Linked DNA regions of Oryctolagus cuniculus. The protein of the gene in region 1 purifies or fractionates together with the protein of each later gene. This does not show direct contact. Links are inferred from orthologs where the notes say so. Each region holds a gene or a part of one and is shown on either strand. Other genes may lie near its edges.

Region 1 (3,196 bases):
AGAGGGAATCACACCTGCGGGAGCCTCCGCGTGGGAGCGGCTGCAGGCCCTCAGCCGGGGTTGCTTACATCCTGCCCGCATAGGAGTTGACCAGAGGGTGAAAATAGCTCGATAAGGATGGGGGTTCACCCTATAGGACACAGGGGTAGGTGTGGGATCCACTGTGTGTGAATCACGGCCAGTACTTAAAATGAGCTGTGGGAGCTGTGACTCCGCTGGGCTGGGAGGCACCGAAGGCGCTGAGCCGCTCAGAACATGAGATGCACACCGGGGCCGTGAGGAGTGGGCGATCCTGTGACCTCAGGACAGCAGGAAACACCCTCACCCCACCCTCGGCCTACAGGATCCAGACGAGCGGAAGACATCACGAGTCTGTCCAGTTCAACACCATGAGCCTCGGCAGCTTTTCTTAAAAATCATTCTTTGTCCATTTAGCGGAATACCCATTCTTCTATTTTTTTTAAAAAAAGATTTATTTATTTGTTTGACAGGCTGAGTTACAGAGAGAGAAGAGAGACAGGAAAAGAGATACCTTCCATCCACTGGTTCACTCCCCAAATGGCTGCAATGGCCAGGGCTGGGCCAACCAGGAGCCAGGAGCTTCCTCCCTGTCTCCCACGTGGATGCAGGGGCCCAAACACTTGGGCCGTCTTATACTGCTTTCCTAGGCCATTAGCAAGGGGCTGGGTGGGAAGTGGAGCAGCCGGGGCTTGAACTGGTGCCCATATGGGATGCCGGACTGCAGGTGGCAGCTTAACCCACCGCACCACAACGACACCACGACAGCCCTTGTGAAACAGGAATTCTTTTTCTAAACACTTGGAGCACTCCCGCACCCGAAGTGGGTGCAACCGGCCCGAAGCACTCCTCAGCCCAATGGCCCGATGGCCCGTGCCTCTGACCGCCTCACTTTGATCAGATCTTCCCCCAGAAGTCTCAGTAGGAGGCTTTTTCTGTCACCACAGCCACCGCCCAGTTCGTCTGTCCCACTGCACGTGACGCTGTCACTCACTCCCCCTCTGCACTTGTTCATTTGTTTATGGGCGGCCTCCTCCCGCTAGGATTGGGTCTTTGTTTGGCTCCCAATGCCCCATGCTGTGAGTTCAGTAAATACCTGAACACATTTCCTCTAAGGGCACACAGAGGAGCAATAACAAGGTTCTGGATTCTGAACCTGCACGCCCCCAGCCCCCGACCTGGTCTGTCCGTCTTCTGGGAGCAGTGTCCCGAGTCCGCATGCATGGGATTGGTCTGGGTCGCATACAAAGCTCAGGCCTCCTTTTCCACTGCTCTGCTCCTGGATTTTCCTTTCTCACGCTGAATTGGCTTAGGCTCTTTTTGAAATAAGTTTCTGGTGGATTAAACTGCTTTGAGCTGAGGGTTCTTGAACACTTAAATCTGTAAAAAAGGAGCTTCTGCGGCTATGCCTTTCTGAGTGTGACGTCTTGCATAGAATGGCCGTTGTTTTTAAGAATAGCAATAAATCACACTGGCTTCCAGAAGTCTGATGTTGTGGCCATGGCCCCTGCGCCTTGCCGCCTTGCCGGTGAGAGAGTAGACACATGTTCCTTGATGTGGACACACTCCAGGGTTGGTTTTCAGTGCGGTGGATTCCTGCCGGCCCAGAGACCGCGGACCTCCAGCTGCACCCCGGGAGTGGCCGTCCTGTGCTAAGTGTGGTGAGTACGCAGGAGTGGAGCTCCCATTCAAGTAACTCACAACCCTTTTCTTTTCTTTTTCCTTTTCTTTCTAAAGAGCTTCTCGATCTTCCATCCTCAGTAATTAAGAAGAAGGTTCATTTCAGTGGGGAAAGCAAAGAGAACATCGGGAGGAGTGAGGACCCCGAGAGCCATCTCACCTCCAAAGCCAAGTGCAAGGACTTGAAGAGGAGGCTGCACGCTGCCCAGCTGCGGGCTCAGGCCCTGTCGGATATTGAGAAAAACTACCAGCTCAAGAGCAGACAGATCCTGGGCATGCGCTAGGCCGTGCGCGCCAGCCCCTTAACCATGGACATCCAGCTGCTGCCGCTTGCTGTGCTTGGGCCACGAGCCGTGGCTTTGCGTGTCGTGAGCCTGATGCTTCAGAGTCGCCGTGCTATTCTACAGCAGCCGCTGTACGAGCGCCTGGGCTGTGTCTTCCTTCCTTCCAAACCTGGCGTCTAATCCTGTGCGTGCCGTGACTACTGCTTAGGAGCGTGAGCTGTAGCGTTCTAGATCTCAGGGGAAAACACACGCACGCAGGAGTGGCACGTCCTGGGCATCTTGAATGTCTGCGGGCTGCGCTGAACAGTTGCCGTGTGTAGTTTTAAGGGTGAGACTTTGGATGTCCTTGAACTTAGAGAGCTGAATTGAATGTAATTCAGTCACTGTACCAGCGCATCCTGCTCCCGACTGTGCCAGTGCAGTGCGAGCCGTTACCTTTGTGAGCTCGTGGCTGGGATGACTGCTCTTTTGGTCCCTTTTGTTCTCTGCTGTTCACCCCCACCGTTGGCCACTAAATAAAAGAGTCCTTCCGTTTTGCTTCTGTCTCCTGGATTCTGTGATCTCAGTAGGATAGAGGGAAGCGTGTTTGTAACTTAGGGGCCTTGTAGAGTAGGGAAGAGAACGCGACTCTGATGTCAAGAGGCCACTCTGCTCTTCCGTGGGCGTGGCTCCCCACGAGCCGCCTCCCTGGGGCACGGAGGCCAGGGGTCCTGAACCGCATGATTTGCTCCTGCGGGTGTTTGGCCTGGAGACCCTGCTGATGGTCATCACTGGGGACGTTGCTGCTGGTGCGGGGGGCAGAGAGTGGGCGTGTCGCGCAGCCCCTGCAGTGCACAGGGCAGCCAGCCCCGACGACGGCTTCCACAACGGCCCCTGCAGGGACCCAGCCTGAGCCGGAACCTGCTGGGGCACACCCCCCCACCCCCTGGGAGCAAACTCAGTTTGGACGTTGGTGAGTGTTTTAAAAATACGTCTGCCTTTTAGTGTGCGTTAGCAGTCCTTGTGGTCCATCGCGTTTTCCATGTGGTGTTTTGTGGGCAGTGTTAATCCTTTTGTACAATAAGACCAAATTGTGAAAGCTCAAGAAGGAAGAGGAAATAGCTCCTTTATGTGTTACACAATTGGTAATGTAATCCCACCAAAGGCAAGTGATGACGTTATCCAAACCATCAGAAACTGACGGTGCCTTTATGGTGTATGCCTAGGGGACCATT
Region 2 (3,817 bases), on another chromosome or scaffold:
AGTTGACAGTCCTGTTCAGCAGGTGAGTTGACTGGAATTTTAGTGTGTGATTCACGAGTTACTCTTTTAAAAATAAATTTTTGTTATGAAATTGAGCAGAAATGATAAAAATAGTATCATGATCCCAGCAGTTGGTATAGCGCATTCTAACATACAGTGAAGACAATGGCAGGAAATTTTATAATTTCATTTTATTTTCTATATCATCACTTCTTTATACTTTTTTACTCCTTTGTCGATGAAAATCTTTAAACACTTTGCTCTTGGGTATTCTATTTGTTGTTATCAACCAAAGTTTATAAGACACCAAAGCTATAAAATATTTTTAACATGTGATTATTATAATTTACTGAAAAATGTTGGATAAGTAAAAATTGAGCTCATAATGATACTCAGAAAGAAAAAAGAAATCTGGCTTGTAACCAGTGTAGTTGGCTGTCACACCCGTGTTCTGAAAATTGGTGATTCAAGGGAAGAAATAAGCATCTGCTGTGTCTTCTCAGGAAGGTGTGTGATTCATCTTTATTAGTCGGAGGAAAACTTACACAAGAAATCCAGCTAATGCACACAGAAGGAACGCTGGAATTAGAAGAACACCATTTTATAAACTCCAGTGTAATTGATTCAGGCCAGAATTGTAAATGAATACTAATACAGTAGGGTGAAAGAATGTTACCATGGCACTAAGCTATCACCCTGTGGATTACTTGCTAAACATGAAAGAACATGTAGGGTTGACTGGAGTGTAGGGAGACTTGTCAGGGACACTGGTTTGTGGTAGTTCAGCTCAGAGATGGGTGTCTTGGAGAAAGTGTTGACACAAGTGTGAATCAAAACTGAGGGAGAAGTGAAGGGGGCTAGTGATCTTTTAGATATCAGGGATAAAAGAGATCTTAGCATATTTATTTCAGGGACCAAGAGAAAGGGATTTTTGTTAAAGGATTTATTTTATTTATTTGAAAGACAGTTATATAGAGAGGTAAAGACAGATAGGGGCCGGCGCCGCGGCTCACTAGGCTAATCCTCCGCCTAGCGGCGCCGGCACACCGGGTTCTAGTCCCGGTCGGGGCACCGGATTCTGTCCCGGTTGCCCCTCTTCCAGGCCAGCCCTCTGCTGTGGCCCGGGAGTGCAGTGGAGGATGGCCCAGGTGCTTGGGCCCTGCACCCCATGGGAGACCAGGAAAAGCACCTGGCTCCTGCCTTCGGATCAGCGCGCTGCGCTGGCCGCAGCGCGCCAGCCGCGGCGGCCATTGGAGGGTGAACCAACGGCAAAGGAAGACCTTTCTCTCTCTCTCTCTCTCTCTCTCACTGTCCACTCTGCCTGTCCAAAAAAAAAAAAAAAAAAAAGACAGATAGGGAGGGAGGGAGAGAGAGAGAGAGAGAGAGAGGAGAGGGAGGTCTTCCATCCACTGGTTCACTCCTCAAATGGCTTCAACGGGTGGAGCTGAGCCGATCTGAAGTCAGGAGCCAGGAGCTGCTTCCAGGTCTCTTCGTGGGTGTAGGGGCCCAAGGACTTGGGCTATTCTCTGCTGCTTTCCCGGGCACGTTAGCAGGGAGCTAGCTCAGAAGTGGAGCAGCTGGGACTCGAACCTGCACCCATAAGGAATGCTGGCGGTTCAGGCTGGGGCTTTAACCCGCTGCACCACCGTGCCAGCCCCTGAGGATGGGATTTCATAAAAGGAGTTGAGGTGTAATAGGTGCAGTATAGATTTTAGATACTTCAGATTGTAGCACAGTTCTCTTGGATATTTCTCTTCCTGAATTTTCATCTGTTAATGTGCCATTAAAAATACAACTCAACAAAAAGAAAATCCAATTAAAAAAGGGGAAAAAAAACATTTTCTAAAGAAGATATACAGATGGTCAATAAGCACATGGAAAGGTGCTCAGCATTGCTAATTACTAGACAAATACAAATTAAAGCCGCAATGAAATACCACTGTAGGTTGGCTATTTTCCAAAAACCAGAAAAATATCAAGCGTTCATGAGAATGTTCAGAAATTGGAACCCTGTGCATTGATGGTGAGAATGTTGACTGCTGTGGAATGTTCCGTTAGGATTACCTCATGATCCAGCCATTGTGTTTCTAAGGATATACGCTGAAGAAGTGGAAGCAGGCACTCATACAGGTTATTTGGGCACTAATGTTCGTAAGAGCATTATTCATGATAAAAGGTAGAAACAGACTACACATTCATCAAGAGCTGATAAGTAAAACATAGCATATGCAAACTGGAAAAATTCAGCTGTAAAAAAAGGAATGGAGTTCTTGATGTGTGCTACAGCAGGGATGAACCTTGAAGACATTATGTTAAGGGAAACAAGCAAGACCCAAAGGGACAACTTCGGTGCAATTTCACTTATATGAGGTATCTGGCATAGGCACATTTATAGGGAAAGTAGAATACAGGTTAACCAGGGCTGGGGTGAGGATGAAATGGTAGTTACTGTGTAAGAGGTGAGGTTTTTGTTTTGGATGAGTAAAAAGTTTTGGAAATGAATAGTGGCAAGGTTGTACAATATTGTGAATGTATTTCATACCATCAGATAGTACAATTAAAAAATATTGAACTAGGCCGGCGCCGCGGCTCAATAGGCTAATCCTCCGCCTGCGGCGCCAGCACCCCGGGTTCTAGTCCCGGTTGGGGCGCTGGATTCTGTCCCGGTTGCTCCTCTTCCAGTCCAGGTCTCAGCTCTCTGTGGCCCGGAAAGGCAGTGGAGGATGGCCCAAGTGCTTGGGCTCTGCACCCGCATGGGAGACCAGGAGGAAGCACCTGGCTCCTGGCTTCGGAGATATTTTTCTAAAATGAGTCTAGGGACTGTTAAGAGTAAGACCAACTGGTAAGCTTGGAGCTAATAAATGCCAACTTGGACTCTTCAGATAGTCTAGTTTTGTGAGGGATGCAGGGTTTAAGACAGATTGTGCCACAGGCTTCTTTCTGGTAGGTTTTTTGATTGTCTTTTCTTCTAAAACTTAATTACGTACGTGGTTTAGCCTTCCTTACAGTATTTATCATTAATTAGTCTAATTTTCTTTCTTTTTTGTTCCCATGGTATACATATTGTGCTGAGGAAGAAACAAAGTTATTATGTAGATGCTATTAATAGATTATTATTTAGATCAATTTTGTTTTGATTTTAGGCATTGTGGTGTGACTTCATTATATCACAGGATAAGTCTGAAAAGACCTACAGTAAGTTTCTTTTTGAAATTTTTATTTCTCTTAACGGTGATTCTTGATTTTTTTTTAATTCAAAGTAAGTAGCCACTCACAACAGTGGTTAGTTAAGCCTAAGCATTTTATATTGTGTATTAAAGAACTTCTGTTAGGATTGAGCTCTTTAGGAAAAAAAATCCATAAACATTATACTTTGTCTTTTCAGGTAGCTATGAAGTAGAAAAATGCATATGTATATTGCAAAGCTCATGTATTAACATGCACAGCATAGAAGGAAAGGATTACATAGCTTCCTTACCATTTCAGGTAAACTTGAGTGTTTCAGATTGTTTGTGTGTTTTGTTGGGGAACATTTTTAATTAGCTGGTTTTAGAGGTAGGCCTTATGTCTCATGTCTTATAGAAATCAAGACTTTTTACTCAAATATGACAACTGAATTTTGACCGCTTTAGTAACTGGCATTTTTCTGTCCTTTGCATTAAAAACTTCAGTTATTTAAGGAAGTGAATTATGAAGTTTTCTGAGAGGTTTTGGTCAGTTTATATAAGAAATAATTTTGTTGATATTAAATAAGGCGTATGAATAATAGTGATTTTCCTGTTGCTCATTATCACTTAAACCTAGTACTAATGTTTAA

The links.
Region 2: the proteins of NEK2 (region 1) and ANAPC1 purify together in Homo sapiens (affinity purification with mass spectrometry; 3 studies listed by BioGRID and IntAct, with this or other methods). This does not show direct contact. The link is inferred for Oryctolagus cuniculus from reciprocal best matches to the Homo sapiens genes NEK2 and ANAPC1.

Annotation. Positions count from the first base shown.
Region 1 is NC_091444.1:26,241,635-26,244,830, reverse strand, and holds the end of NEK2 (serine/threonine-protein kinase Nek2), read left to right. Parts: intron 1-1,755; coding exon 1,756-1,982; 3' UTR 1,983-2,519; downstream 2,520-3,196. UniProt on the Homo sapiens protein: Protein kinase which is involved in the control of centrosome separation and bipolar spindle formation in mitotic cells and chromatin condensation in meiotic cells.
Region 2 is NC_091433.1:113,103,542-113,107,358, reverse strand, and holds part of ANAPC1 (anaphase-promoting complex subunit 1), read left to right. Parts: coding exon 1-22; intron 23-2,255; exon of another isoform or gene 2,256-2,370; intron 2,371-3,143; coding exon 3,144-3,195; intron 3,196-3,385; coding exon 3,386-3,486; intron 3,487-3,817. UniProt on the Homo sapiens protein: Component of the anaphase promoting complex/cyclosome (APC/C), a cell cycle-regulated E3 ubiquitin ligase that controls progression through mitosis and the G1 phase of the cell cycle.